Danio rerio: one gene and its partners. The protein of the gene in region 4 interacts with the protein of the main gene of each other region in a biochemical or structural test. Links are inferred from orthologs where the notes say so. Each region holds a gene or a part of one and is shown on either strand. Other genes may lie near its edges.

What was found.
Region 1: the proteins of nr0b2a (region 4) and smarca2 form a complex in vitro, tested with the Homo sapiens proteins (2 studies listed by BioGRID). The link is inferred for Danio rerio from reciprocal best matches to the Homo sapiens genes NR0B2 and SMARCA2.
Region 2: the proteins of nr0b2a (region 4) and hnf4a form a complex in vitro, tested with the Homo sapiens proteins (4 studies listed by BioGRID). The link is inferred for Danio rerio from reciprocal best matches to the Homo sapiens genes NR0B2 and HNF4A.
Region 3: the proteins of nr0b2a (region 4) and esrrga form a complex in vitro, tested with the Homo sapiens proteins (2 studies listed by BioGRID). The link is inferred for Danio rerio from reciprocal best matches to the Homo sapiens genes NR0B2 and ESRRG.
Region 5: the proteins of nr0b2a (region 4) and esr1 form a complex in vitro, tested with the Homo sapiens proteins (2 studies listed by BioGRID). The link is inferred for Danio rerio from reciprocal best matches to the Homo sapiens genes NR0B2 and ESR1.

What each region holds. Positions count from the first base shown.
Region 1 is NC_133180.1:46,018,980-46,025,735, forward strand, and holds the start of smarca2 (probable global transcription activator SNF2L2), read left to right. Parts: upstream 1-2,411; 5' UTR 2,412-2,594; intron 2,595-2,738; exon of another isoform or gene 2,739-2,818; intron 2,819-4,415; 5' UTR 4,416-4,430; coding exon 4,431-4,655; intron 4,656-6,756. UniProt on the Homo sapiens protein: ATPase involved in transcriptional activation and repression of select genes by chromatin remodeling (alteration of DNA-nucleosome topology).
Region 2 is NC_133198.1:28,797,359-28,804,392, forward strand, and holds the start of hnf4a (hepatocyte nuclear factor 4-alpha), read left to right. Parts: upstream 1-3,377; coding exon 3,378-3,465; intron 3,466-3,467; exon of another isoform or gene 3,468-3,920; coding exon of another isoform or gene 3,921-3,927; intron 3,928-4,935; coding exon 4,936-5,110; intron 5,111-5,204; coding exon 5,205-5,299; intron 5,300-5,768; coding exon of another isoform or gene 5,769-5,783; coding exon 5,784-5,890; intron 5,891-7,034. UniProt on the Homo sapiens protein: Transcriptional regulator which controls the expression of hepatic genes during the transition of endodermal cells to hepatic progenitor cells, facilitating the recruitment of RNA pol II to the promoters of target genes. Activates the transcription of CYP2C38.
Region 3 is NC_133192.1:31,251,666-31,257,981, reverse strand, and holds part of esrrga (estrogen-related receptor gamma a), read left to right. Parts: intron 1-4,128; coding exon 4,129-4,398; intron 4,399-6,316. UniProt on the Homo sapiens protein: Orphan receptor that acts as a transcription activator in the absence of bound ligand. Binds specifically to an estrogen response element and activates reporter genes controlled by estrogen response elements.
Region 4 is NC_133191.1:58,815,894-58,822,910, forward strand, and holds the start of nr0b2a (nuclear receptor subfamily 0 group B member 2a), read left to right. Parts: upstream 1-2,492; 5' UTR 2,493-2,543; coding exon 2,544-2,855; intron 2,856-3,964; coding exon 3,965-4,157; intron 4,158-5,236; coding exon 5,237-5,478; 3' UTR 5,479-7,017. UniProt on the Homo sapiens protein: Transcriptional regulator that acts as a negative regulator of receptor-dependent signaling pathways. Specifically inhibits transactivation of the nuclear receptor with which it interacts.
Region 5 is NC_133195.1:29,087,630-29,093,945, reverse strand, and holds part of esr1 (estrogen receptor), read left to right. Parts: intron 1-1,533; coding exon 1,534-1,757; intron 1,758-6,316.

The DNA of each region.
Region 1 (6,756 bases), on a different chromosome or scaffold from region 4:
TTGTAGTGTACAGTGACAGAACAGTTCTGTGATTTTTAGGACTTTGTATTTTTGTTTTTAATGACATTTGAGAAATAATCAGTTTTTTACCGCACAATTAATGTGATTTCAAAAATGTTACGAAAACATTTGACAATAATGTAAATGCTAATGCAGGTTAATATTAGAATTAAATTTCTTGGAAATGAAATGTATATATATTTAGTGTCTTAATGCAAATGTAAAAAGATGCACTAGTGGCAATCGTGAATTATGGTACACTAAAAAAAAAATATTTCTGCAAAATTGTTGCAAACGATTTATGTGTTGAATTTCAAAACATTTTGTGATGTTCAGCTTAATTTGTTTGCTTAAATTCAGCCCAAAAAAATATTTACAACCACTTAAAAAATAATAGTAAATCCAAGGAATTATCTTTGACTCACGTTTCAGTGTAGAGCAGTTTAGTAAAAATATATTTTATTAATTTGAGCAGTTTAGGTCTTTTTTAGTATTCATTTATATAAATGAGTTACAATCCATATGATTTACTCACTTTATCACTCTGGCTGTTTAAACTACCTTTGCTTTAAACGGGCTGTTGACAGTATTCGGGATTAAAACTCACTGAAATCTTGAACAATGACTCCCTCAAGTGGTCACATCATAAAACTACGGTTTATTTCGCTTAGAGGCCAGTGAATCCTGTATTTTAGGGTAGGTTTGGGTTAGTATCTGCACATGGGTCAAAGATGAGACATTCCCCAAAATATACAAACGTGATTTTAAATGTAGCCTACAAAAAAATATATATAGAATATACAGAACTCAAGTGTCTAGTTGTTTTAAATGACTTGTGTAAAAATAAAATGTCAAAATAATGGTAACAATGTTCCGTTCTGTAAAAATTCAACAACATATTCTGATGCTTCAAATAAAAGAACAGTCATTATATTATATTTTATAAAATTATATTATATTTAGCTATGTTATATTATATTTGGTTATATTATGTTATATTTTATTATATTATATTAGGCTTTGATATGTTATATTAGGCTATATTTTATTTTATTATATTATAATTGGCTATAATATATTATTTTGTGTTTTATTATATTATATTATATTATATTATATTAGGCTATATTATATTATTTTATTACATTATACTATATTATATTTTATCTTAATACATTTTAAATTATTTAAAAAAACTTCTTGCTGATAAAATGTGTAAAATATTGCTTGACAGATTGTAGCAAAGTATACACATTTAAAATAATAATAATGAAATATTAAATAATTAAATAATGAAGTATTCCTAGTATTTGAAGCCCCATTGGGTTCATTTAACAGTCCGTGTATACAGTTCATATGGCATCAAATTAAATTATCCTTGGTCTAAAAAGGCTGTATATGTAAAAAATTTTAAAAACTGTTTATTCTTTAAATAATGATATAAAATATGTCATATTATTATAACGGTTACTTTATTTATTATTAATTTATTGCTCAGAAATAATTAAATAATTCACATTAAATGGAAGTATTACATTACTACACTTATTTATTATTTTTTTTGCTTGAAAATCGTCTTCGACTCACATTAAATCAAACAAAAATCATTTAAATATACAACTTAACAACATGAATAAAAAACAAGGAGTTTTTCTTCTTCCTGTAGTTTTTCATCTTGTTCCCCAGAATACATGATAATCATACAAATGATCATTTAAATATTTTACTAAGGAGGCTTTTAAAGTTTAAAATTGTTAGGGTTGGGTGGTCTTTAAAGATTTGGACCAAGCTGGTAGCATTCCCCCTATGACTAAACCAATCAGAAGCCGTGAAGTTATTATTTCTTATGGGAGTCAAACTTCGGCTCAAACGAGCAATTTAATTGTAAAAAATTAAATGTATATTATACATTAAATATTTAATTTAACATTTAAATTATAATTAATGTAAATATACAATGTAATACATCACACTTGGTTTTACATCGAAAACTAAAAGCATTTTCCTCTTTGTAGCAAACAGTAACATGCTGCTTACACAACACATGCATTTGCTATGGATGTAATTTTCCCAATAATATCGAAACATAAAACAAAGCGTCTTTCTAAAAGATACGCGCGGACACAAAAAAGTATGAATAAAGCCCATTCTGTGCGTTGTGTGTGAACGCGAGAGCATATAGAAGAGTTTGTCCCTAAACGCCCTGGCGGACAGACGAAAGTTCCAGCACGTTCGTCGTTGTGTGAAGTGAAAGTTATGTATCCGCCAGCCTCCACCCCCAAATATATCACTAAATGATAGACGTGTTCTTCAGCCAATCACACGACAGAGGCGACTGCATTTCCTGCTCTCTCAGCCAATCAGAAATAAGAAAACACTAAAAAACGCGGACTTCAACTTGTCAGCAAAACAGAAGGGGGAGGGGATCAACATATGGCAGTCATATTTCTGAAGCTGAAATAATGTGCTAGACCTTTTATTGTGTTGTTTACCTCGCAGAAGGTAATTAGGTTTAAATACTCTTTGCTTGGACATTTATACTAATGTATATATGTCAGCGGGCAGCATTTTGGGCATTTTACTGATAAAATGTGGTAAGCTAGCATGCTAACATAACTGTACAGACGGTTAGCGAGCTGTTATATCAGACGGGGGGCTAAATAAGCTTGCTTGCTATTAACTTTGACAGCATAAAAGCAGGCGAGTAAATGACTCGTCTATGAATGCAAGAAAAATACCTTCGTAATCCAACGAAACAGAAAAGCTGCTGTGAATGTGCGTTGGTGGCGCGCTGTGATGGGAAGGTCCCAGAAAGTTTGAGATTTCAGGAAACTGCAATGGCGTGAGGGGAGACAGTCATGACAGCAGGTCGAGGAAGCCATGATCCGATCACAGCAACTCTCTCCAAATAACACCCCGCTATCACTGCATTGCTTCTTTTTAAAATAGGCCTTTTGCGTGTGATATCACCGTTAACAGCGACTCTTCCTAATTAGGCTCTATTTAAAGTTTTAGTCATCATGCTCTGAACACTAAACATAGGCCTGCACGAATGCATTTGTACATTCAACAGCAGAATAACGTTAGTTGTTTATTCAGGTCTTTAGCCTGGGCTGATCTGCGTGAATGAACTCTTGTTGGTTCATAGAGACGCGAATAATTACTGTAATTTTAAATAAGGTCTGTAATTAAATGTTAGAGGGCATTTTCTTGATAAAAGTGTGTTATTATCTTACCCTCTGCAATGTTTTACTCTTTACTGTCATACTGGTGGCTTGTGATTCTGTATTTTCATTCCAGAAGTGCCGCTTGAGGGGCGTGTCTGAGCACAGCGCGGGTTATAGTTATGCAAATAACCCTGTCAAAGTTTTGGTCTACCGTGTTGTCTTTTACTTCATAGTAGAAACAACAATAAAGCAGTGCTAGGAAACAATGCAACTTATTAAGTCAAAATCACTCAATTTAATGTATGTTTCCTTTATCTGAGTGGGTGAGGTCATAATAGGCTAATAATAATAATAGTAATAATAATAATTACTATAGTAATGATGATGATGCACTCACATGGGAGTCAAATGTTTATCTAATAATTATTAATGCTAATTTATATATAAGATAGTTTTACAGAGCAAATTAATTGCTTGTTTTTTTCAGCAAGCAACATGCTTAAGAAACTTATGCAAAGTAATATGAAACAATGCAATGTTAGGAGTAAAATATTTAACAATAGCTTAAAATAATTGATAATTGTTCTAAATTATTTGAAGCAGGGGGAAATTTGTTTTTAAAAAAAATCTGGACCCTGAACTATCAAAAATGTATTGCACACATTTCAGTATTATGACAGAACTTGGTTTCAGGTTATTTATATATAATGATGCAAGAAGTCACAGCAGAGTGTAATGCAGTTTCTTCTGGCGTGTTGCTTTTTATTTTAAAAGAGAACAATGCATATTTCTATGTATTAAAACAAGTTATACATGTCGGATTATTTCTGAATAGGTAATATTTATTAATAATAAATATAATCTTAAATGCATTTTAGTTTATTAATGTTTGTGCTCCTATAACTTGCATTTATATGAAGTTTTATGATCAATTTACAGTGAACCTTTTCATAAGATGCATTTGGCTTGAAAATGCTGTCATTTGGGGTGCCAAGCAATGTAGTGCAGGCATGACAAAAACCCAATAGACCCATCTTTTTTCTTCTTCTTCATATTTTCTTATTTCTTCATATTGTCAGTTCATGGGTAAAATAAAGTTTGTGGCAATTTTAATCTGATGATACTGTAACTTCTGATGTTTACCTAATACCTTATAACCACAGACGTAATTTTACTCAAATATTGAAGAATACGGTAGGAAAGGCTTCATTTATATTATCTTTAAACTTTTGTCAATTCCTCTCACAGCTTCTCAGCTGATAGATGGCCACCCCCAATGAGCCACCTGTTGGGATGTCCCATGCTGGTCCCTCACCGGGTGCTGGCCTGTCTCCGGGCCCCATCCTAGGACCGAGCCCTGGACCTGGTCCTTCTCCTGGCTCTGTACACAGCATGATGGGCCCCAGTCCAGGACCTCCGAGTGTCCCACATACAATGCAGGGCCAAGGAGCAGGAGAATACTCACAAGAAATGCACCCAATGCATAAGGTAGAAGAAAATTCAAAACGATTCAACCAGTTGCTTCTCTAAATGATTCGCCTTTTTGAAGCATTCAAAACAGAAATGATTGAGCGTATGCCTAATTATTGAACATTTTGTATTGAACTGAAACTAATATGAATCTGTCTGCCTGTCGTTAAATAAGAAAGCTGCCAAAACAACTGAACTGCTGAAAAATAATATTATCATTATAAGCATTACTTTTAAATGATCAGATCTTTTTTGTATACCTAACACTCTTAATAATTTACTTATGGTTTGAGATGTATATTGTTTTATTTCTTTTGTTTTATTTTTTATTTTTTATATTAAATATTAGTTTTTCTTTGATGTATTGATTTTATTTCTTATCCTTTATGACATTTATGTAACTAGCTGTACAATGAATATGTATCATTTGTTTTCAGGTCACACAATATTAGTACAAATTAATGTTTTCTGTATCCTGTTATTAATATTAATAATAAAAAACTAAAATAAATATAAAAAGCATTGAAAACAGCGCATGTTAGCGGCACCTAGTGGTCAAAACTATGTAAATGCAACAAAAACTCAGCCAAAAAAAAAAAAAAAAATGAATGCAATTGACCTTATTCTCCGCAGACGAGTGGGCGCTGCCATTTGAATCTTTTTGGCACGAGACTTCCGGTCTCATTCACTTGCATTCATTTTTAGACATTAAAAACTGCTCGTTTCGCTGTTTAATGTTGCAAACTGATATTTCCTTGTTGTATTATTCTACTTGGTCTGTATAGTCATGCAAACATTTGTTTGTAGAGCAAGTAGTTTGACCGTTTTTTGCCGTTTATTATTCCTTGTCATTTTTCCCATAGGCGACTGAAACGGAAGTTCTAAGACAATCGCGAAAACAGGCGCACTTCCGCATTTTAGAATAAGGTCAATAGAATGAGTGGGATCTGGCTGCAGAATCAGTGCAGATGCAATCTTAGTTGCATGTAATGCTTTTAAATGGGCTCACCTAACCCCACACCTAACCCTATCCATCAAAGCATCACTAGCTCTATTGAGCGCATTGTGTCTGACATTGCATCTCACAACTTGCATCATACAAGCTGCATTGTTTCTTTGTTCTGCTTGTTGTGAACTTTAAATTGAAATTATAACCTATAAATGCACATAGCTCACAATCTAATGTCCCTAAATAGTCCCACTTTATATTAGGTGGCCTTCACTACTATGTGATTGCATCATAAAATAAATATACAATGCACTTACTGTGTTAATAATACATTGCAGAACACTTCTGGTGCACTTGAGGTGATACGGGTTGGGATAATCACTGGTTTGGTGTTATGAATAGGTTTATGGGTGACTTCAGGTGTAAGGGATGGTCAACAGTGTAACTGCAGAAATTGATTACATGCAAGTATTTAATCAATCTTGAGCAAAATGCAAAAACATGTATTTAAACCATAAGTACATTGTAAAAAATGCTTAATTTCAGTGTACGTATATATTAGTTGACTAAGCTCTGCATACCCAGTACCGGGTTCGGGATGTCATTTACTTTATCGCAATCTTTAAATTTTTAAGGTCCGTACTTGCCAAATACCCCCATAAGTGGTTCCGTTCCATCATCAGTTGAAATAAAACAACTTTTACATTGATTATGATAGATAAATTTTTTTTCCCTGATTACTGACATGTGCAGGAACCACCAAAATTAATTACAGCAACCAAGACCACACAGAACCTAAAAGGTACACTTACAAATTTGAGTTTACAAAAAATAAAATAGAGGTTTATTATTATTTGAGGGGTTTATAATAACACTGGCAATACATACAATTATTTTAATAACTTTCAACAGTGTTTAATGAATATTCAAAGGGTTTTCTTTAAAATGAAAAGAAGCTTTTGCAATTACATCTCTGCATGTGGATTTGAGAAACTTTTGAATTTGGGCAGGCGAAATCCAGGTGGAAACCAAAAATAGCACCTGACTTTAAGTTAAGGCCACTTAATATAAAGTGGGACCCATTTAATTATAAGTGTCAGCGTAATATGCATTCTTTTATACATTTTCAAGGTGTATATATTGTTGTTTAATGGTGGGCTCTACTAAACT
Region 2 (7,034 bases), on a different chromosome or scaffold from region 4:
TTGAAAATAAGTTTTACTGCTTGTTTAAGCTACTTTTTAAAAATGAGCTGAAACAACACAATTTTTTAGATTTCTTGGGGACAACTTAACTTTTTTATGTCCAATCCACTTAAATTTGTTGAGTTAACTTACTTACAGGAACATGAATATATTGTGTGGAACCCTGCATTTTTTTGAGTAGATATATAGATAGGAAGCCAGAAAGATGGGTGGATGGATGGATGGATGGATGGATGGAGGGATGGATGGATGAATGGACGGACAGATAGATGGATGGACGGACGGACGGACGGACAGACAGACAGACAGATAGACAGACGGACGAACGGAGAGACAGACAAATGATAGATAGATTTGTTGATAGATTGATTGATAAATAATGGCATTTCCTCTGTCCAGCTGTATCTGAGCTGTGCATCATGTGCACGTGCAGAATGTTCAACAGAACAATGAACTCTTTTACATAAAGGCCACACTTTTCACCATGTGAGTTATTGCTGTTGTTTATTGTGCTAGAATTAACAGAGATTTAGAAAACACATTGAAATGTGGACCACTCACTCTCAATCGTATTCATAGAGATGAGTATGAGAGACCTTTCACTACTGGATGATGGGACAGACCTAGATAGCTAAATTTCTGAAAACATTATTCTACCACTTAATAAATACTCTGTCATCCTTTATAGTTGAAAGGCAAGGTTACTAGCCCACCCATTTTTTTTTTTCATCTAAATATTTCCCAAGTGATGTTTAACAGAGCATAAAAATGATCACAATATTTTCTATAACACTTTTTCTTCAGGAGAAAATCTTATTTCTTTTAGTTTGGCTGGAATATATATATATATATATATATATATATATATATATATATATATATATATATATATATATATATATATATATATATATATATATATATATATTAAAGAATGGTCAATATTATTAGCCCCTTTACAAATATAATTGTTTTTGTGATTGGCTTCTAAACAAACCACTGTTTTCCAATGACTAATCGTCCTAATTTACCTAGTTAAACTAATATCTTAAGCCTTTAAATTGTACTTTAAACTGAATACTATTGAAAAATATCTAGAAAAATATTATGTACTGTCATAATGGCAAAAACAACAGAAGTTAGTTATTAAACTAATATGTTGACAAATGTGTTGAAAAAAGTCTTTTCTCTGTTAAACATCACATGGAATATTTTAAAAAGAACTCAAATTTTACAAAATAGATAAGAATTTTGACTTCAACTGTAAATTGTTTTAAATGTGTAAGACATTAATTAACCTTTGTAACACAACTGAGGACATTTTTGAGATTTCTGTCCCAAACACCCACATCTCTCATACTTCAAAACATTTCTTGAATAGTTAAAAACATTAATCCATAAAAATCAAGGTATCAATCTCCAGTCTCCAGACATTATTTTTTATATAATGAATAGCTTGGCTGCATCTAAAATCACACTCTCCTTACTTCACAACAGCAAAAAAAAAAAAAAAGAAAAAAAAAAGAAGTTCTATAACGTATAAATAAGTGTATTATGAACGAAATCTGGATGTACTTCGAGAAAATACTAAGGGCCCTATCATACACCCAACGCAATGTGGCGCAAGGTGCAGATGCTCTGTTTACCTGTTTTCTCTCTAGTGAAGAGTTCAGTTTTTCCAATAACAAAGTCCGCCATGTAAATTACAAATGCACTATGGCGTGATGCAACTGACTCTTAAAGGGAATGGGAGATGGGTCTCTGATTGGTTTATTCTCAAAACACATCTATAACTCATTAAGAGAACCCTGTTAGACCATGCGTCACGGTGCAGAGCGGATTTTCCAGTCGTTAAAATAGTAAAAGTGGATTCGGATACGCCATTAATGCTTTTGCACCCTGTGCTTTGGTCTTTGCGCCTTGATCGTCAAAATAGAGCCCTAAATCTGTTCATCACATAATGATCATGTCTCTTCAAAAGATATGGATTTATTTACGAATTATTTACGAAATTTATTTAAGAACGTTCTAAAGTATTTGGGAAGAAAATGACTAAAATCTCTCCCATTTAATTAAAAATATCTTAATTTGTTTCTGAAAAAAAAGAGCAACAGTCCGAGCAGCCACAGGACATCAACATGATGTCAGATTGACGTTGCATCCCAACATTGTGGGACGTTGCATTTTGATTGGAAATGAAAATCGGGTTGATGCCAGAGCTAAAAGTCTGTCCTACGTTGGACATAAACATTGGCCTGACTGGGTTCTGACGTCAACTTTGGTTATCATTATCAACGTTGCATTTTCCAACACAATCTAAAAACAACAAAATATCAATGTCTAATGATGTTGCAGCTTGACGTTGTGTGGACGTTACCACTATGACATTTATCTGACGTTGGATTTTGGTTGCCATACCTGACAAATAAATGTCAGTAATTGACTTTAATATGACGTTGGTTTAAGATGTTGGCTCAACGTTGGATTTTGGTCACTTTCCAACACAACCTAAAATCAACAAAATATCAACGTCATTTCACATCATTATTGGACATCAAAAAAACACAGTCCAAAGACACTGGCGACCTAAATCTAACCTAATATTAATGTCTTAAGATGTTGTGTGTCTGCTGGGGTCTTATGGGTTTGTAACAACATACACTGTAAAAAAAAGTCTGTTAATTAGTATGTTCTGTATTTCATGATTCTATTTTTTTCTCTTTAATTATGGTTATGAGTTGCATTATGGTACTGTGATCTCTACTCTGTACACTTTTGATGTAAAAAACAACTTTTTCAACTTTTCAAACAACTTTTTTTTTTTTACTTTTCATTATCAAAAGTCATTATCAGAAGCTCATGGTCCCATGATGCAATGAATCCCATTACTGCAAGTATAAATAATTGGGGAAAAACATCACAAAATACAGAAAACTGGTAAATTATGGATATATTTACAGTCCAAGACTGAACAAGTGATAGCAAATTTTAGTTTGAAGTGAAAAACTGTCAAAAAGTTTAGTAATTGGTCTATATTTTTAAGTCATGAATTTAAGACACAGGCACAAAAAAATAAAACAGTAACTTTCCCTATTTGTCTCCATTTCCAAAAAAAAAAGCAAAACAACAACTCTGATTTAGCATTTTAATGATTAACATAAAGTCCATCCCACTGGAGAGGAGGAGGCCCTAGACTGTCAATCACAGCGAGCCTCATCTTTGCCCTTGAGGACATGGCCCCTGTCACTCAGAGGTGTCTACCCCTTCAAGAGGAGGGGCCTGGCCTATGAGGGGGTGTCCAAACGCTCTAGAGAGGACAAGTCTTTCCCCCCAGCATCAGGTAGATGAGAATGCGTTTGTCCAAACCACTAGTAGACATGGAGATGGCAGACTATAGCGAGGCCTTGGATCCAGCCTACACCACGCTGGAGTTTGAAAACATGCAAGTGCTTGCGATGAGCACAGGTGAGTCATTCGGAGTGAACTTTGAGACCTTTAGAGACTTTATATGGGCTTCTAAATGGTATATGGTCAAGCGTGGGAGGCAGGGTTGATAGGGTTATAGTGATTGCCAATTGGCAAGTTCGTAACCTCTTGCATGGAAAAGCCAATATAGCAGAAGCCAATTGAAAATAAATTTTTTGGTTGAAGATAAGCAGCACTGCATGCTCCGTCCTGCAGATATGGAAGTTCACAAGGAGAAGAGGTTCATCCGTTTCCTTTTGCTTGTTCTCATACAGCTGGCTTGGGATAAAATGACTTGTTTGGATAGTATTTCAAGAAGAAGTTTGACACCAGGATGAATGATTACTAGAAGAAGAGGGTGTCATGTAAATGTTTCGCAGCCAATCCTCCCATGTCTAAGTTTTGTGCAACAAATTGATATTCAACCGGTGTCAACCTGACACAAGTAATTTAATATGAATGGTAAGGTTATATTTAAAGTTTAAGTAAAGCAATAAGAGTCCAGTTTAAAAAATGTTTACATTTCAGTTTGATTGACATTTGAGATTTTTTTAATAACTCACAGCTAAAATGGAAACCGCTGAGGAGAATTGTTATACAGTAGAGTACATTCAAATTATTTTAATTATTATTTAATAAATTGCAATGAAATATATTGATCACAGATTATAATTTTTATATTTAAACATTTTTTGTCACAACCATAACCACAAACACCTAATGTGACAAATCAGATGATGATTTAGATGATCACTACATAATCACTCAAACTGATGAGCCATTTAAGGTTTGCCTTTGATCATTGCTTAGGTTTTAATGTGATTACTCTGACTGCCTCCAGCATCAAAATTAACAAGAATCGTTTTCTTAAAAATGATGAATGTTTAAATGGTTTCTGTCATCAGCATTAAATCCAATCAGATCTTTTTCTTCAACAAATTGATGTCCTGTTGTTTATGGAATAATCAATCATTCATAGAAAGTCAGTTTCATTAAAAACAAATATATTATTTACATATACATGAGTAACATTTCAGGTTGAAATTGTTTTGTAGGTCATCAAGAATGCTAATTAGAGTTTCTATAATCTAGCATGATCTTGTTGTAGCTTTTGTACAGATTTAGTTCTAATCTTTTCTGGATTACTAAGCAAACACTCCTTTCCAGCACATGTTTGTGATGACGATTCACTGCAAATTGATTGAGCTGTAAAAATGTATTTTCTAAAAGAATTTCTCACCCCATGACCTTTCCCCTATTTGATTTAACTCTGATAGGTCTGGAATAATTCTGACTTGTTAGGTCTGCAACCCACATTTTTAAGCGTCATTGAAAAAAGACAAATTTTATGCAATCACTTATCCTATTATTTTAAGTGCCTCTTCATTCTCTGACTATTTTTGTTGCATGAATAAAACTAAATCAATTTAGCACACTTTTGACTAAATTCAAAATCCCCTATGATTGCAGACTCCTCACCACAAGAAAGTGCCAACATGAATGCTGCCAACCACTTAGGGGCCGGCACTCTATGTGCCATTTGTGGGGACCGGGCCACAGGAAAGCACTACGGGGCCTCAAGCTGTGATGGATGCAAGGGGTTCTTCAGACGCAGTGTACGCAAAAACCACATGTACTCATGCAGGTTAGAGAAAATTAAATATTCTCTAAATTATGATCAAAAATCTGCAATAGTTTCCATCCAATGCATCTAACTATGTCTTTATGTTTCCTCACAGGTTCAACAGACAGTGCATAGTGGACAAAGACAAGAGAAATCAGTGTCGGTACTGCAGACTAAAGAAATGTTTTCGAGCTGGCATGAAAAAAGAAGGTACTTGCACATGTTGTTAGATTACATTCACATAAAACTAGCTAAAAACTAAAACTCTCTTGGCTTGTTTGGGAGGTTAGGGGATGAGGTGGCGCAAATAGGAGATGTTGCAACAGCATAGAGAGAGAGAGAGAGAGTTAGCGAGAGACATTTTGTTAATGTTCACTCAACAATGCACTGAAGTCTATGTCTGGTTTATGCTGAACAAACAGTTTAGAGCCATCATAACTGCACACTGATAAAAAAGTGCAACCTTGAGGACGGACGCAACCCCCCCTCTCACAAAGTCAGCTAATATTCCCCATCTCCGCTATCTCAATTGGTTGTCAGAACTGGGTGGCATTTGCTGCTACTGATAACGAAAGAAAATGTTTCAATGGTTTAACCAGAGTTGGGTTTTTTTTTTTTTTTAAAGTACAACATCCAAAAAAAGTGTTTCTTATTTTAATAATTTGTTGATTAAAAGTAGTTATCTCATCCTCAGCTGTGCAGAATGAACGAGACAGGATTAGCACCAGAAGATCCAGCTATGAGGACAGCAGCTTACCCTCCATAAACGCACTCATTCAGGCTGACGTTCTTTCTAGACAAGTAAGTAGTGTGAATCAAATCAAAGTACACAATAAGCAAATCCTGGTAAAACCTATAAACTTTAAACAAGACATCTGAAGGTTGGTTGCTTTGAAAAAGTGTAAACACTGCAGTGTTATCAAAACATTGCTTTGTTTGTTTAAGCATCCCAATCAGAACTACATAGCAACATTGATCTAACCAATGATGCTAGTTTGGGGCAGGACTATCTGATCAATGGTAGACGAGGGATTTGTTTAGGAAACCTGTTCGGAAACAGTCAATACATCTGCAGTTCTGCTGGGTGGTGCTATATCAATTCTACTTTATTATATGACTTGTACATTCTATGTTTATAGATAAAAATTATTACTATTCATTCATATATAAAATAATTTGTATTGTCATTTATTAGGCAAAAAAGAAAGTCTTAATGAATTTGTATTTTTATATCCAGAATTCTCTCAGTACTGTGAATTAATTAAACATTAAAACCTTTTTTTATTAAGGACTGCAAGTAAATAACTGTAACTGGGCAGCTGGTTACAAAAAATAAAACAATTTACTTATTTTTTCAGCCTTTCTTGTGAAACATTCATTTTGAAAATTCACAGATAACAATATTATATTTCAAAATTAGATATACTGTGTATGTGATTGTCCACACACGGGTGAATTAATCATTAAGTTATTGGAATTAAATTGAAAGATGCAATATACAAATGAAGGAACATGGTGATTAAAAAAAGAATACCACAACTTTGAAAATCGAGAACTCAACAATGAAGAAAATGAAAGCTTCTGTTGTTGATTTAAGGAAGCTCTGGAGTTTTATTAGGTTGCCTATTTGAATGAAAGGTACCCAAAGCAATAGATCGGCCGCCAGGCAGCCTGTGACAGAGCACTTCATCACTGGCCTCCAAGAAGCCCTGACCTCACCCCCTCAGTTTTTTTCAATAGGGTACGTTAAAAATATGGTTTACCACCTCTACTAGCTAACATTGAGGAACTAAAAGAAGAAATAACTGCAGCTATCCAATCTGTTATGCCCGAGATGCTAAAGAGAGTGTGGAATGAGTTCGAATAACAGGTTGATGTCACGAGTGTCTGAAGGGGGTCATATTGAACATCTATGAACTTGTTTTCTACTGAAAAAAAAAACGTT
Region 3 (6,316 bases), on a different chromosome or scaffold from region 4:
GTTACAGTTATGAAATAGTTTGATAACAAGCAGGGAATGTTCCTTGGCCAGTGACATGACCACATTGAAATGGTCTGTCTATTCATCCTGTCCCTCCACCAATGTGATTGGATGGCTGGCTAAAATGACAATTGATGAATGCTGCATTTTAATAAAAGGTGAACATTCTTCAACATTCTGTGACCATTATTTTAAAAAGTGTGGTACTTACATTGAAAACTGAAAAAAAAGGAAAAATGCTTTGGTGGAAAGATCTTTAGTCAAATGAGCTTACCAAATCAAACAAAAAAGCTGAGAATAAACTTTTACAAAAATGCCACTTACAAATGCAATAAATTATACAATAGCAATGCAATGTACTGTCAAAATCATATTTATTTATCATGTAAATGAATATTCCCTTTCGTATCTGCAGTGATCCGAAGTATGTCAGTGGATATTTTTCCAAATGATCAACATTAATAAGGGATTACACTTACCTCTAAGGAGGCCGTGAGGATCTGATCTTATTTTTAGCCCATGCCACCTTTCATTGAGGCCAGTTTGTTTGCAAGAATGCCGCAGTCTTGCATTAGACCCCCTTAAGAAATTCTTGGCTTAATCCCTTTTGATGATTTTATTAAGTAGTAGAAGATGGCCCTGCCAACTGGCATTGGGCACACTTGCACCAGCAGGCCAGGAGAGGCACCAACTGCTCACCAGCTCTTAGTCTGCCTCTAATGAGATCAGAGATGTTAACAGTTTGGGATAATAAATTAGCAGTTGGTATAAACAATAGCCCCAAACCTATACCTAATGAGCTCCTTGCCATTAGTGATTAACTGGCAAAAAAAAAGAGATTTCAAAATAAAAGAAATGAGCAGAATTGCTGTCTTTCTCTGAAGGCATTTCTGCACAACAGATGTTGGTGAGCAGCTCTTTCGTCTCATTCCCCCGCCACTCAGATTAGCCCCCGTACTGTCGCAAACAGAGACGCTTCATCTGTTGTGGGAAGAGCAGAACCGCTGAGATGAGACGAAAAGGTCCAATACCAACAGGTGCTGTTGTGCCTGTTTTCACCTTCAGATCTGATGGAGAGCTCCAATGCATTTATGCGGTTTATACATAAAACTGCTTTCTGTCATAAGACTGCTTTCATGCTTTCAGTCAGCTTTAGTTTCGAAGAGTGCTTGCTTTTTTTTTTTTGTCTTGTGCATAAATAAAATGTTTCAAAAAAATGTAAATTGATTTAAATTAATTCAGTTTTTTTTTACCTATTTATGTGTTCATTCAAATTATAATAATGTTTATGACAAAAAAATCTATATATATATATATTCATGTTGTTTATAATTTACTTTTTATTTTACCTAAAGGGAATTTAGAAAGTTAGGTTGTTAATTTTCTCAAAATTTCTCATATTTTCTATTATTAATATTCATAAAATGTATTATTTAAAAAACAAATTTTATTGTAATTAACAGGGATGTCCAGATCCGATCACAGGATCAAAAATTGAGCTCGATCACTTAATTTTAGACTCAATCATAATCAGACGTTACCTCCCAATTAGGACTCAAATATATATAGTAGCACATATATATGCAGTGGCACAGAGTTAGACCTATTTTTTGAGTTCACACAGAAACAGTAATGCGTGTGGAATGACATCATTTTTTTGCAAAGACGCAGCTCGAAGCGGGAAAGCACGTGTATGTCTGCGGTCTGGAGGTATTATGAAGTTGATGAAGACAACATTAACATAGCAAACTATGAGGCATGTAAACTTGAGATTGCCTGTCGGGTATTTTAAGTTAAGGTGCTATTTATTCATATTTTTACATTTACTAGTGCACTAAAGTGCAAAAGTAAAGAATTGATGTTATTATCTTACTTGACTGTTCAAGCTACCACACAGAACTGCTCTGTTTGTTAACATATTGAATGTTAAAATAAGGAACATCCTGGATCTGTTTTTTCCCTCCTCTTTAATTTTTTTATGTATTATAGAACTATCGGATCGGGTTTTGGTATCAGCAGATACTTAAAATCTAATGACTTAGACTCGAAGTGTGATAAACCTTCAACAACGATAGAACCTTTTAAATCCACAAAAGCTACTTTATAGTGAAAAAAGTATCATCATTTAATAATAATAAAAGTATCAATACTTTGATCATTAACATGTATGAAATTGGTAACATTTCTCTAAAATGTTTTTTTGGGGTACCAAAAAGGTTTCTTGCTGGCGCCTTTATTTTTAAGATGGCAATACTAGGAAGCATCACCTGGTACTTCACTATTAAGTATGTTCCTCATACCTAGAACCATGTTTTAGACAGACAAAAGCCCCATGATAGTCAGCTTCAAACGAAATTCACAAACATGAACTTCAACAATTTCCAGAAAAAAAACACAGAAAAAGCGGAGAAAAGTGTGTGCAGAGTTGGGGGAGGAGGAAGGAGATGGAGTTTGAGGCAAGCAATTAGTCTTTCAGTTGGTGTGATGGGAAGAATTGATCCATGCTGCATGTTGGGGGAGATAAGGAGTGCCCTCCCTCAGGATGCCCCCTGGCCTGCAGCGCGCCAGCAGATGAGAGCCAAGGCTCGTGCGAGGGCCCTCAGTTCACTCCCGCTGGAGTTTTCCTTTCCATTACACCTCCAGAATGTCAATGCTTCTTTACTAACGCAACCGCAAACTTCTGACAACCAATTGAGCTTTTATGTATCGCCGCTGAATGTTGATTTGAAGCTGAACGTTCCTCATTGAGTTGAACAAAGCTTTTTTCTGGCTCTTTATTCAATACTTTCTTACTTATGCAGACGCACACTTCTGACAACCAATCGAGCTTTTACTGTATGCATCACTGCTGAATGTTGAATTTCATCATTGAGTTGAACAAAGCTCTGTTTCTGGCTTTTCTCAATGCTTCCAAACTAACCAACTGAGCTTTTTTCCTTTATTTTTCATTTCACTTTACATTCAAGGCTGAACGTTTAACTTTTAGTTGAACAAAGCTCTTACTCTGGCATTGGTAACTGTAAGACTGAACAGTTAAGTGAACTCAAAATCTGACTGTATAAAGCTGAACTTAAACTAACTGAGTTATGGCAAGATATTTAAGGGGGAATGCTTTAGATTCTTATTGTTATTGCTTTATTTTATATTCTTATGTTTAGAATTTTATTGTTATTATTTTTGTTATTGTTGAAATTTATTTTAAAATAAAAAAAATAAAATACATACATTTTAAGTTCATCAAACTAAACAAAATACAGCAGCAATAAATGTATCAAAATAAAATGCTGTATTTTTGTAAAATGACATTTCTTTGCAAACCGTTCGTCAACAGGTCTTTTGCATCAACCCCTTCACCACTAAATTAACATAGGGAAGTAAACAATGTTTGATAGCAACAACTTTTTTCTGCCACTTTGTTTACCTAAAGGGAGAAGTTGTGGCGTAATTGTAAGTGAGTTGGACTTGTAACCCAAAGGTAATTTGTGTTTCTCTTAGAGTTACAAATTACAATCCATCCATTATTTGTACAGTATACTCAATTTACCAACATTATTTCAGTTCTTTTTTAACTGAAAGAGTCTCGGATTACCCCCATTAAAAACACCAGCACACCTTATTTAGGTGTTTATATTTCTAAAGTTCCTCTGCATTTCCACCTGCAGCACTGAGACTGATGATGTTCTCAAGCTGCTCGTTCTGTTCTTTAGGACTGAGATTTTATTCAATCTCATTTCTTAAGGAAAGATGCTAAATTGTACACTAGACAGCCATTATATTTATGGTCTTAGCATCAGGAGTGGTTGTGTTAGCATTTCACTGCATATCATACTGTGTATGACTCTGTATGTGACAAATAAAAATTGAATGAGCTAAAATGAGTATAATACAATGTTCTGTTATATTGAGATTCGTTTGAAATTTTGTATAGTTGAAGAGCATAATGTTTTAGGGGAGGATGGGTTGAAAAAAGTTTTTAAAAATAAGCAAAAAGATTGCTTATAAATGTAAATCTACTACACAATCAAAAACTTCTGACCACTAATTGAGTTTGTATTTTATCACTGATAAATGTTGATTGGAGTGATCTGATATTGAGTTGAGTTGGTCTCTTTCTTTGTCATTTTTCAGGCTTTTCCACACTGTCGCTGGCGGATCAGATGAGTCTTCTGCAGAGTGCGTGGATGGAGATCCTGATCCTACGTGTCGTCTACCGCTCACTGTCTTTTGAGGACAAGTTGGTGTACGCTGAGGACTACATCATGGATGAGGATCAATCCAAACTGGCGGGTCTGCTCGACCTGAATAATGCCATTCTTCAGCTGGTGAAGAAGTACAAGAGCATGAAGCTGGAGAAGGAGGAGTTTGTCACTCTTAAAGCTATAGCCCTGGCTAATTCAGGTAAAATTAGTTTTAGTTAAAACTAGACTTTAGTCAAAGAAGGCACCATTGTTGGTTTGATATGTGTCATTTGTGTTTCTAAAACTGGGTCAGTGTGATTATACTTTAATTTTGTCCAAGTTTATTAATGTATTCATAAATGAATTATAAAAGCAATTTATCCATAGTATGATTACAGTATCTTATTTGATTTAAGAAGAAAATTAATCAAAATTCAATACAATTGTCTTGATATACAACATTCTAATTCTGCGTTCATTACATGTTAAGTCAATGCAAAGACATGATCAGACATCCTGTGGCGCGATACAAGCGAATGAGGTGGCGCAATACACGCGAATGAGGTGGCCCGAATGGCATGATTCGCGCAAATGAATCTGTACAAGTTGAGTGTCTTGTGCAATTGCTGCGCGTGTATTGCGATTTTCGTGCAAATCGATGAAGTTCGAAAATCCGAACTTCAACAGACATTCAAGCCGCGTTAACCAATCAGGAGCTTGCTCTTGTGGAGGCGTAATTATGACATAGTGCCTGTTGTTGGTGTCCTGGGAGAAAATCCTCCTGCCAACACCAACAACAGTTTATCAAATTGGGCTAGGTTCAGTCAGAAGCACAGCTAAAAGCTTCCTTTATCTAGGTTAGATTTCTGGAGGAGTGAACTCATAGAGCTAGGAGCACCTCTGAAAGGATCCAGTGGACTCAGACATGGCTCCAAATGAATTGACACTGTTTTTCAGCCTTCATAAAGCACATAAACTCTATGTTAGCCATTTAGCAACGAAGCTAGAGTCACAGGGCATACAGAAGCCCTGCGTCTGTTGTGGAGTGTATTTGATGCGCAAATGATTTATGCTGTGTTATGGTGTGAACACAGCATAAAAGAAGAGTGCCAAAGAAAGTCTAAAAATAATTCTCTCACAATAATTTAAAAAAATATATATTACTAATAATAATAATGAAAAGATTTTATAAGGTATCTTAATATGGTATTGCAATATGATATCCTATAAGATATCTTAAAATGGTATCGTAATATGGTATCTTTTAAGGTATCTTAATATGGTATCGCAATATGGTATCTTATAAGGTATCGTAATATGGTATCTAATAAGGTATTGCAACTTGGTATCTCACTATATTGTGCAATTTTATCTGTCATTTTTGTTAACTTCATCCTAAATTTGGTGTCCTCTCTGATTAAAGTCTATGTTGTATTAAATTATACATTGTTCAAATTGTGGTTTGATGTGACTGTAAAGTTATCCAGGTACAGCTCAAGAGATATATCAAGATCTCTGTGTTTCTTTCTCTCATGTTTTGTTTTTCTCAATTCACACACATACTCAACAACAGCAACACACCAAATAATGTTCCCACCCCTCCCCACCCCCTTTAAACCCTTCAAAAGCACGTCGGCCCCTATCCGAATTAGCATAAGTCTCTGCTCAGATGCCTCTTAAGTAAGGAGCCCATCACTATGCACCTGCATGTCAATAACAGGCTCTGATGTTGTCCACCATCGACAGTCACACCATGGCCCTCTGGCTCCCTTTGTGTTGACCCCATCTTTGAACTTTATCTTGGTTGCTGGCCAGTAGTTTTCCCTTTAATTACAAGAAGGAAACTGTCAATAAAATCTGTTAAATGGGACGCAATGAGCAGCTTGAATGGGAGGGCGGCTATTTGTTCAAATTCTCCAGCGCTCAAGGTATTGACAGTTTGTTTTCTGGGGCCATATGTGACGATCAATCTCCGGCTGGGCCTGGCCATGCTGAAAAATGAAAAAGCAGATTGCTCTTGCTCGCTTGTGGATGACGGCTAGCTGCATTGGCCCTAGCCTGGAGACACTGGGGGCCGTTCTGCCCAAAGTGCACCCCTGAGAGAACGAGCAAGCGCGTGACTCTTTTGAGAAATTCTT
Region 4 (7,017 bases):
AACGTTAATACAAAAAGTAGAGTTTTAAGAAAGAATTTACAATAAATACAATTATACATAAAATGTAATCTAAATATATTCCTAAAATTTAGTCTAAATATATACATAAACTGTAGTCTAAAGAATAATTAAAAAAAGAAAGAATAAAAATTGTAATCAATACAATAATATACAAAAGCATTAAGGGCATATGGCGATGAGTGCAAACCAGAGTTGTGCAGATAGAGCCGTATATAGTGCAAAAAGGCTTGTAAACATAAGATAAAGTGACAGTATCAGGATATATAGGGAGGTAGTCCCTATATGAGGCTCAGAAGGGCCCTAAAGGAGGTTCTAGTTCCTCTTTATCCGCAGGATGGGGACATTTCGTATCTAAAGATTAGTACCACTTAAAATTATATTAAAAAATTGTATATATAATTTTCTTTTATTACAAATATTTCCCAAATGATGTTGAACAGATTCAGGAATTTTTCACAGCATTTCCTCTAATATTTTTTCTTCTGGAGAAAGTCTTATTTGATTTATTTCAGCAAGAATAAAAGCAGTTTTAAATTTTTTTAAAACCCATTTTAAAATTCAACATTATTAGCCCCCTTAAGCAAAATTTGTTTTGGATTGTCTCGAGAACAAACCACTGTTATACAATGACTTGCCTAATAGGGTTGTGGCGATACCAATAAATCATGTTATGATACTAAACCAGCTAAAGTGTCGTGATACCAAGTAGTATTGAGATACTGTAATTCATAACTCAAATCCATGAAATAAAGCAAACTGTCAGAAATACTATATTTTATATGTTATAAGCCTACTTGAATTGAAATAATGATTTCCTTAATATTGAAAAGTATTTGCACGTCACTTCACCTGAAATGTATTCGTCTTTTGTTTATTTTGTAGATAACTGACCAACAATAAATACATTAAAATACAGATACAAATGATACCAAATTAAACTTACATTAATAGTAAAATTAGCATTTTTCCAACCAAATTAGGCTTCATGAAGTGGTCAAATTCAGTTTTAATGTTTCCAGTATCTTTTTTTTTCCAGTCTCATAAGGTGATTAAAAATTTCACCTTGTGAGTCACTTTTTTTAAGAGATTGGTCGCAGTTGTTGTAGCTACTAAATCATACTGACAGCAGCAGAAATAAATTGATTCAGACTCAATCTGAAGCGTCAGAAAACGTGCAATAGGCTCCCAAAAAATGAGTGAATTCTACACGGTTTTACAAACTTGCAAACATGCTCCACAGCACAGACTATTCAAATAAGGTGGTCTATTGTTGCACAAACCTGTGAGGTTTTTAGAAACCACATGCAACATTATGTATTGTAGATAGACCGTTAATGACGATGCTAACATTGACAAACTACAGTGGCATTGCCAGTATTTTGGAGCCGTATCACGATACTACCATAATAGTATCGGTAAACCGTGCAACCCTATTCCCCAATTTCCCTAACTTTAGCCTAGTGAAGCCTTTAAATGTCACTTTAAGAGAAAATAAATCAGTTATTAGAGATTACTTATTAACACTATTATGATTAGAAATGCGAACATTATATATATATATATATATTTTTTTTTTTTTTCCTCAATTTCTGTGTAACGGAGAGCAGATATTTTCAACACATCTCTAATCATAATAGTGTTAATAATTCATCTCTAATAACTGATTTATTTCCTCTTTGTCATGATGACAGTAAATAATATTAGACTAGATATTCTTCAAGACACTTCTATACAGCTTAAAGTGACATTTAAAGGCTTCACTAGGGTAATTAGGGTAACTAGGCAAGTTATTGTATAATGATGCTTTATTCTGGAGACTATTGAGAAACAAAATATAGTTTATAGGGGCTAATAATATTGACTATAAAATGGTTTTAAATAAGTTAAAAACTGCTTTTATTCTAGCTGAAATAAATCAAATAAGACTTTCTCCAGAAGAACAAATATTATCAGACATACTGTGAACATTTCCTGAATCTGTTCAACATCATTTGGGAAAAATGTAAAATAGAAAAAAAGCAAAGGGGCGCTAATAATTCTTTATTATTGGTTAATTATATCAAATACATTAACTAGCACAACCTTATTGCAATATGTGACCTAAGAAAAGGAGATAAATACAGCTCTGGGCCTGTCTGAACTATGATAATCTCCTCTATCAGGTCATCGACCTCCTCCTCCTCCTCCTCCTTGGCTTGGAGCTGTTTGTAGGTTTATAGGTTCTATTATGATTATAGGCTCACGGGTTGCTCTGTAATGATAGTATCATATAATGGACTAGTCCTTGGTCGCTTGGTACGGCCTGGTGTAATAATGCCTCCTCAGAGATAATAATAAACCCGGCCTACAGTGGCTCTCAGCTTATCACAGATCAGTTGTTTAGTTCACAGCAGAGGCAGAGGTCAAAGTTCAACCGCTCTGTATGTGTGTGTGTGTGTTGTATAAATAAGAGCCAGATGTGAATGTCTCACAGTCTGTAAGAGCTGGAGAAACACACACACACACACATCATTATCATCATCATGGACTGCGGATGTGATTGTGCAGATTTTGCGCAGCCGAATGCGATCCTGTTTAATATTCTCAGCCGTGGAGAGTTCAGCTATAAGCGTGTTCCTCAGACGTGTCACTGTGAGAAGCGCAGACGAGTGTGTTTGCAGACGCCGAGTGAGACGTGTGCGCTGGCGTCAGACGTGCTGGTGAAGACGGTGTATTTCATGAAGAATCTGCCGGCGTTTCAGCAGCTGCCGCCCAAAGACCAGCTGAAGCTCCTGCAGAACTGCTGGACGCCGCTCTTCATCCTCGGCCTGGCGCAGGACAGGGTGCACTTCCAGGTAAATAAGTTGTTATTTGAGAGATTTAAACTCTTAACTCTTGTGTTGGGTCATTTTTATCCACTCTGGGCTGATTTTGAGTCTTAATTTGGCCTCAACTTTCTCTGTGTTTCAGCAAATGTGATGATTTTTGCTGACAAATCTTATTTTGACACATATTTTGGGAAAATGCTTTTAAAATCTCAACAACACACTGTTCAGATAGACTTCCCTTTGGTTATGTTGGGGGCTGTTTTTGCCCGATTGACATTCATTGTAGTCACATTTTATGATTGCAAAGCCATGACAGCATATAATCATGCATTCTTGATTGTTGCTGGTTTTCCCTGTTGGGAAGAGGGACAATCTGTCATATAGAATGCATAAATAAACAAATATACTAATTAGCTTAATTACCTTATTGTAAAATATAGACACATTATATATATATATATATATATATATATATATATATATATATATATATATATATACATATATATATATATATATATATATATATATATATATATATATATATATATATACATATATATATATATATATATATATATATATATATATATATATATATATATATATATATATATATATAATGTGTCTATATTTTATATGTAAATATAAACGTTTTGTCAAATATATGCATGCATGTGTGCTTATATATATATACATATATATATATATATATATATATATATATATATATATATATATATATATATATATATATATATATATATATATATATTGTTTCTACTGGTAAATGCATTACCTAACATTATCTAATGCAGCCTCATAGTAAAATGTTACTGTATATTGTGAATGTTCATTGTCACAACCTATTTTGCATAGTTAGTTTGTTGATGCTAACAAATGCATTAAATAACATTAACTAATGCAACCTTATTGGACAGCATTTTCGTATATTGTTATATTGTGCATGTTCATTATCATGATATATTGAGTTATTGAACATGTTCCAAAGTTTATTAGTTAGTAAATGCATCAACTATCTTTAACTAATGCAACCTTATTGTAGAGTGTTTTCGTATATTGTTATATTGTGCATGTTCATTTTGATGATATATTGATTTATTGAAATATTCCAGGTGGACGAGAGCGCGGCTCCCAGCATGCTGAAGCGGATCCTGCTGAGCGGGCAGGAGAGCGCAGGTGCGGACTCTGAACAGCCCACACTGGCTGGAGTGCAGACGCTCAAATCCTGCATCAACAAGTTCTGGAGTCTGGATCTGAGCCCCAAGGAGTACGCCTACCTGAAGGGCACGGTCATATTCAATCCAGGTGGGATGCACAGACACTGTAATGATGCATAATATATATTCTTTTAATTATGGAAAGATTTAATTTTATTTATTTATTTATTTTTTTTGCATTGTTTTGCATTGAACATTCCTGTTAAATGATATATAAAATATTTGTTTTAATTATGGAAAAGTTATTTTATTTTCATTTATTTCTACGTTAAATATTTTTATTCTATTTTTTCCTTGATATATATATATATATATATATATATATATATATATATATATATATATATATATATGTATATATATATATATATATATATATATATATATATATATATATATATATATATATATATATATATATATATATTATTTGTTTGCTTTGCTTTGCATTGAATATTTCTATTTCATTTTTATTTCTAAATGATGTATAACATATTTTTGTAATTTTTAAATTTTTTAATTTAGTTTTTGCATTGCTTTGCATTGAATATTTCTACTCTATTTTTAATTCTAAATTATGTATAATATTTATTTTTTTCATTTGTTTGCATTGCAATGCATTGAATATTTCTATTTTATTTTTATTTTTAAATGATCTATAATAAATTTTGTAATTTTGCAATTTTATTTTATTGATTTTTATTTTTCGCATTGCTTTTCCACTGAATATTTCTATTCTATTTCTATTTTTAAATGATGTATAATATATATTTTTAATTATGGAATTTTATTTATTTGTACTTTATTTTATTATTTATTTTCCCTTGGCTTTGCATTGAATATTCCCATTATATTTTCATTTCTAAATGATATAGATAGAATATATACTTTTAATTATGTAAAAGTTTAGTTTATCAAGTTATATTTTATTTCATTGCATTATGTATTGGATAAAGTGTCCAAAAATATTATGTCATTTTAATTCTGTATTTATTTATTTGTTTAGCTATTATGAACAGTACTATTATATTGTCTTTTATATTATATTATATTATATTATATTATATTATATTATATTATATTATATTATATTATATTATATTATATTTCTTTTCACTCCATTAGAATATTAAAGTCTTCTTTGCATCTGATTTTCTCCATCTGCAGATGTGCCGGATCTGAAGGCGTCTCTGTTTGTGGAAGGTCTTCAGTATGAGGCTCAGCAGGCCCTGAAGGAGGTTCTGGTTCCTCTTTATCCCCAGGATGGAGGACGTTTTGCTCGAATCCTCCTCACTGCATCCACATTAAAAAGCATCACGCCGAGTCTGATCACAGAGTTGTTCTTTCGGCCCGTCATCGGAGATGCTCAAATCCTGGATCTGCTCGCAGACATGCTCTTCAGCCGATAGACAGCCGAGAGCCGTGCTGCAAGGTTATTATAGTCTACCTTTTTAAAATTAGATTTCTTTTATTTTTATTTTGAAGTGCTTATATTTGATCCCTTTTACAAGATGTAAGATCAGCCTGTCTTCAGAATGTGCTTTCAGCTCAAAATACCCATCAGATCATTTAATACACCATGCAGAAGATGTGAATTCTGGGGTCAGAGGAAAGTGTAGCTGTTTATGTAGCCTGTGCCTTTAAATGCAAATGAGCTTCTCCCCCGCAACAAAATCTGATTGGATGTGATTGAGATTAACTTTGATCACATTAATGCATCTCTGCTAAATGGATATGATTTTGATCTTGTGCTATATGCAAATGTAACTAGGTTACATCAACTAAAGCATCAGATACACAGCATTTGAATTATTTAATATTATTATTGACAGAAGCGTGAGCTATAAATGCATAAAAAAATGCATGAAGTGACCAGGTGAGAGCAGCCCCTTAGTGAAACAAATCAAATCATATTTTAAACAAACACTAAACACTAAATCTTAATGTGTAAAAGTAAAATCTATGAGGAAATCAGACAAACTTGTTTATAAAAGACACGTATATGCAGGTAAACATGCTTAGTTTGTCATGTTTGTCAGATGAAGAAAAGATAGATCAGATGTTTTTCTGTTTTTTGTTTATAATGCTGATCTTCACTGATGTGTTTGGCGCCATCTACTGGTGATTCTCTAAACAGCATAGAACATTCATTCATTTTCTTGTCGGCTTAGTCCCTTTATTAAGGCTGATTTATACTTGTGCATCATGCGCATGCGAATGCTACAGCGCAGCCTACACATAGATGCATAGCCCTCGTCTTGGCTGTCGGCGTCGCTGACGTGCACGTATTAAGCTGTCATTAGAGTTTGTCACATTAGAGTTTGTGTGTGCACAATTCTGTTGTGCGGCGCTGCGAAAAAGGGCGGGACTAAACAAGCTTATTAGACATTAAGAAAAGCAAGCGATTGCACAAATTTCTGTCCAGAGAGGTCATGTTTTTATCCTCGATTGGTCGCACATAGTCAAGTGATGCGATTTCGCAAGTCAGAGTTCACCAAGCTTGAACTTCGCACCGCAGCAACCTGCGAAAACGTGACGCATGACCCTGCGTTTGCGGTCTGACGCACTCGCGTGCATATGAATAGAAGTCTATGCGAGGAAAAGCCCAGTGTGACCGCAGCTTTAAAAAATGTAACTATGTTGCAACAACACGTAATGCAAGCTCTTTGATTGGTCAGCTTGGAAGCACTGATGAGTGTGGGCGGGGCCGAGAGCTACATGAGTGTTTACAAGTGTCGACTGTTTACAAGGAGACTGTTGCTTTGTGTTTACCTTATGGTTAAGGTTGTTGCACGTCTGAGTTTGAGAGAGTTTGAACCACTTGCACATTAAGGAAGAGTTTAGAAAAAAAAAAAAACCCCAGAGAAGAAACTCAACACAGAGGAACATTAACACCTCACTGCCAACTAGTGTTTCGGAAGTTTATTGCAAAGCAACAGAAACAGCGC
Region 5 (6,316 bases), on a different chromosome or scaffold from region 4:
TATAATTTAAATATTATTTTAATAAATATATCTGTTTAATAAATCTGTTTTGTTCCAAATGCACCAAAATACATTGATTATATCCACTGAGAAATGGATGAAAATATTAATTTTCAAAATGTGGTGTACTTATTTATGCTTAGCACATAAACTAACAAAAAATATAAATGCGTCTCTATGTGGATGTGTGTTTGATGTTCTGCAGAACATTACACTTTATTTTACTTGTTGTTAGTTTATGCTTTATGTTTGTGCTGTTAAATATTAGTGCTCTTGATTAGAGTAGATCTTGATTTCTCGGAAAAGAGGTTAGGACAGTAAACACTTGAGTGCAACATGGGGACTGAAGTACACCAGTCTTTGAAAGAAGCGTAAAGCCTCTCATCAAACTCTGTCTTTAGACCTTGAGAAAAGTACAATTAGTTCTGTCTGAACACAACGGAGAACATTTTTCACGTTCAGACGAACTGAGTGAGATCAAGGGACAGCAAATATTGAAGACAGCATTATAACCAAAGCATGTTGTCTGAATAAAACTAGTCTTCTTTTTTAAAGGCAAGACTGCTTGGAAACGTCATTTGTCATTTGGTGACACTTTAGAACATTTCTGAGATCATGCAATCAATCTGCTGGACATCAGAATTAAGACATAATAAATATTTACAAACACTGGAACAAAGGGTCAAAAGGAAATGGAGATAGTCACACTTGCCCCCTGTTTGCAGTCACGTACATATTCTCAATGCACGCTGCCAATTTTACTTTTGAAAACTCTTCTGATTTTCTAGAACTGAATTGTCCATATACTCTAGGGTGTATGCTTCCATAATGGTTATCAGATGACCCCTTTTCACTATATTTTGTGCATGCTTATTTCCTATTTTTTACATTCAAAATCTAGTTTAACCCTGTTAAATGTGATCTTTATTTTAGAATTTACTTTTTAAAAGGATGAAAATGATTACAAGTTAACATTAGCATTTTATGTTTATGGCCCTTTTCGTGATGAAATTTAAACTTAATTAAAATAAATAACACATTATCAAATGACCCCTTTTCACAATTTTTTTTATTCATTCATTCATTTTCTTGTCAGCTTAGTCCCTTTATTAATCCGGGGTTGCCACAGCGGAATGAACCGCCAACTTGTCCAGCATGTTTTTACGCAGCGGATACCCTTCCAGCCGCAACCCATCTTTGGGAAACATCCACACACACTCATATACTATGGACAATGTAGCCAACCCAATTCACCTGTACTGCATGTCTTTGGACTGTGGGGGAAACCAGAGCACCCGGAGGAAACCCATGCGAACGCTGTTACTATTTTTTGCGCATGCTTATTTCCTCTTATTTATAACCTGATTTACAATTATAATCTAGTTTGAGATGTGAGAGATGACTAGGAGGAGTGCTAAAATAAAACGCCACCCTCCTCATGTTCATATAGACTTTAAATACTATTGCTTTAATAATTATTTATATGAAGTGTAACATCTAGTGTATTGACTGTTCACCTCTGTTTTTGTGCAGGTCCAGTGTGGTGTCCTCTCAGCAGGCAGCCGTGGGCCTGTGTGAGGAGCTGTGCAGTGCCACTGACAGGCAGGAGTTGTACACTGGATCCAGAGCGGCTGGAGGCTTTGATTCAGGGAAAGAGACTCGCTTCTGTGCGGTGTGCAGTGACTACGCCTCTGGATATCATTACGGAGTCTGGTCGTGTGAGGGATGCAAAGCTTTCTTCAAGAGAAGCATTCAAGGTGACCAGCCTGTTTTACATGCAGTCTTGTTGTTCTGAATATCAGCAGGGATGTGACGCGGCTGCAAATAAAAAACAAAAACAAATCACAGCTTTGTTAATACACTGTAAAACCCAACAGTCAACTTTATCAAATGAAATGACTGTAGCTGACTTAAAACATACTGAAAGGTAATTCTACGCATTTGAAAAGAGTTTTGAACTCAGTGTTGAAAGTAATGAGTTAAATAAATACTTCATTTCTTTAACTTAAATGGAGGAAGGATTAGCTTTGAAACTTAAATTGTTTGTTGGAATCGGTTTACGCAAACTTCTGCAAATGTTACCTTAACTTTTTGGGTTTGACAGTTTATTCACAACAATAGATTGCACGTTTCATCTTGCTCATACAATACAAATCAAAAGTAGATATCATGAATTTTACATTGGTGGTGGGGGTTTTGTTTTAAAAAGTATTTTATTTGTATGCTTAAAAAAAAAAAACTAAATATTTACATTAAACATAAATCAAACCCCATAAACAGCCAATATTGGTATAACCATGTAAGAAAACATCACCTAAATTTTTCCATGACTATGACCAAAATACCTAAACATAGGACATTTTTCAAAAGTTAAACCTGAGTTTTGTGTTTTTGTAACTCTGTCTAATTACACTGCAAAATGCTGCCAAGACACAAGACTGGATGATGCTATGATTTGCTATTGCATGTACACAGAAAAAAGTCAAAACGGCAATTCATCGATGGATTTGCTATTGCATGTTCACATAAAAACAATGCAGTGAAATGAAATGCAAAAATTTGTGCTGTTTGAATCACCTCTTTGTGCTGTTAGAGTGCTGCTCAGCTAATCAAAATCAAGGACCAACACTTACACAATGTCTTGCATCTAAATATGCATGCTTTTCTATTATATATATATATGTGTGTGTGTGTGTGTGTGTGTGTGTGTGTGTGTGTGTGTGTGTGTGTGTGTGTGTGTGTGTGTGTAGCAGGTAACAGTGCAAACTGAGTAAATTGTCTGATATCACAGTAATCTTTAAACAGTTATTAAACTTTTATGTTTCCTATATATGTTGTTTTATGTTATGCTCCTCTCATGTTTCCATGGTGTCCACAGGGTCCAATAAAGTTATGTCTTAAATTTCAAAAACTAATCTCAGGCCCTTAAATATTGTCTGGTAGGTCTTAAATCATTTTAAATGGGTCTTAATTTACTTTGTTTGTGTAAAGCTACCCAGTCAATTCAACACATATCCTATGGTGCCTGGGCCCTACTGAAATTGCTCTGGTTATTGTAATTAATATTATAACAGCTTGTTGTGCATACATTTAGTTTATTAAAGGTTTTTTTTTCAAAGCGTTTTTTTTTTTTTTTTGTATGTTTACAACTAGGGTCTGCTTGTTTTGAAACATTTTTTTAAAATATGTGGCTAAGAAATAACTAATTAGAATTAGAATTTTGATCAGGCAAGTAAAAACAAAAATTTTATCTGTGCCATTTTTAAAAATCCTTAGCGTTTAGCCCTATACAAGTCTACAATTTCATTCTTGATTTATTATTTTTGTACTTTTTTTCAACAAAGAAATTTTAACATAATTTTATGGATTTTGTTTGGCAGCCATAGCTGCCAGTCATTTGACTTTTTTTTATTTATCTTTTTTTTTTTTTTTTTACAATTTTCATTTTAAAAGTGCAACTAATTACAATATATTACTTTAATTTTACATTCTTTTATATGAAAAAAAAAACGGGAAAAAACACTGTAAATAATACTGCGATTTTACTGTATAAAAACAGTCAAATTGCTGTAATTTGTCATTAATTATATTATACATAAAATAACAGTCAGGCTGTTAATTAACAGATATTGTTTGTAATTTTTACGGAGTTTTGAATATAATTTAAAATAACATTAAAATTCTCTATAAATAATACAGTACTTTCCCTGTATAAAAAAACACTAAAATGTCAGTAATTTTAATGATAAAGTACCTAAAATAAAGTAGAGAGATTGTTTGTCATTTTACTGACTTTGAATATAATTTTAAATGACAAAAAACTACTGTAAAAAAATTGAGATATTTTCTGTAAAATTATAATTTTTTTTCTTACAGTGTACATCATTTTGTAGGTGCATCTCCCTCCCCCCTGGACTCATTTAATGACCTAATGGCCGCAATTATAAAATAATTTCTAGTTTTATTTGTCTTGCAAATAGGAACTCTAAAACGATGTCCTGATGGCAGCAGCTGAAACACAGAGTACAATGGGTGATCCAGGGTGCATAGGATACCCTGCGCTCTCTTTACAACACAATTATGGTAAATTACCATTGAACCAGTTTGGTTAAAACCGAAGATCTTGCCTGCCACCTTTACCACCAGGCTACTCAACCTGTTCTTATTTGACACACTCAGATTACCGTACTGTTAGATTTTAATTAAAGATTACCAGATCAAACCTTTTTTTGTGGATTAATTGGTCGACAAACAATGTGCACTAGCATAATAAGCTGAGTAGATTCTGATTTCATGTGGACTAGAAACACATTTGCTCAATAAAAGTCTCTTGCATTTATGGATTGAATTCCAGTATTTAGGCTTTACATCCCCATAACTAGCTTCACCCAATTCAAAACTACAACTTCTCTGCTATCTAATGGCCATGTAAAGCAACCAATCACAGTTAGTTTCATTCAGTGCCATTTTTCGAGGGATGGAAAATAAAGTAGTAATACTATAATTTTCAAGTCAAGCCTTTGTGCTTCCAAATGTGAATGTGTGAATGTGTCCAGTAGGTAATCATCCTCACACGCTCCCTACTATCCTCCCTTTAAAAGCTGCTAGAATGAGGTGAAAATCAAAATCTCATGTGCGCTACATCTGGGACATACACAATGACAGAACACAGCTGTCTCTGTCTGCACCTTATTAGCAGTAGTGTATTGTGCATCAAGGGTGCGGGTCTGGGTGGGTTTGGTGAGATGTTTTGAGCTGGACTCTGACACACAGGCTCCTGATGAGCTCTCTGCTGGAGCAGGGAACAGCTGCCGACTCTAACTGCAGTTCGGGTGAGGAAAACTGGGGAAAATGACTGTAAGTGTATGTCTGATAAATGGGTTTCAGAGCACACTGGGTGAGGAAAATTACAGTGAGCATAAGGCAGAACAGAGCTTCCTTTCAACTTTATAGAGGGAAGAAAAGAGCACAAGGCTGAGAAGAAGAAAAGCAAGATAATGAAGCATACATATGTTTTAAATTGCAGCAATATGAATTTGGTTTAGTTAAAATATTTTTGACAGTTCACTGTAACAATATCTGTTAATTAACCGTATTGTGTGATTCACAAGTGTTTTTGGTTTATGGTTGCGAATTTTATTATGGGACCTTGATCTAAAGTTGCAAGTTCAACTCTACAGTTTAACTACGTGACTTATATCGACATTTCAGTAGTTTGAAATAATATAATGTATAAGAAATCTGTCCAGAGAATACGGGCAGTTTATTACAAGGTTTTTGTTGCGTAATATACAATACCAACCCAAACAATACATCACTTTAAACTATTACAAATGTTAATTAAAGTCACTCACTCAGCTTTTCAAGGTGAAAAATTATTGGAAGATTAAGATGACATAAAGCAATTCAAAAGCATAAATAAACTCAGAAAAATGAAAAATTGAAACAGAAATCACAATACGGAAAACTGCCAATTTATGTATTTTATATATATATATGGCCACTCCAAAACATTCACTCTGTTGTACTTAAAGCACATTTTAGCTAATTTGGCAGTATGCTTAGGGTCATGGTTTGTTTGGAAGACCCATTTGTGGCCAAGTTTTAATTTCCTGGCTGATGTCTTGATATGTTGCTTCAGTATTTCTACATAATGCTCTTTCTTTATGATGCCATCTTTGCTGTGAAGTGGACCAGTCCCTCCTGCAGCAAAACAGCCCCACAACAAGATGCTGCCACCCCCATACTTCACAGTTGGGATGGTGTTCCTAGGCTTGTAAGCTTTCCCCTTTTTCCTCCAAATGTAACACTGGTCATTATGGCCAAACAGTTCAATATTAGTTCCATTAGACAGCAGGACATGTCTCCAAAAATTATTCTTTTTCCCAGTGTAATTTAGCAAATTGTAATTTGTTGATTCTGGCTAGTTAATTTTCCTATGTTCCTATGTTTTCCTAAAATACTATTCTACAGTTGTGCCTCCAGTTAACTCAAATATTGGCATTTAGCCAAGCAGAAACTTCCAAAACCTTGACAACATCATCTGAGCTTTGTCAGAGGCATACTAATCTTATTGTATGTAAACTTGACTTTCAAGAGAAGTTCTCTCTCATTATTCTGCTATTAAGCATAACAGAGACAAATTTGATAATACAAACTTACCTAAAAGAGAAAAAGTTTAGTCACACAATAACAACTGACTTTTTAAAATGGTTATGTGTCTTTTTATACAGTGTATGTAAACATCAACTGTGTAATATATATATGTATACATATCTATATCAATGTATGTATTACATATCTATATCAACAAATA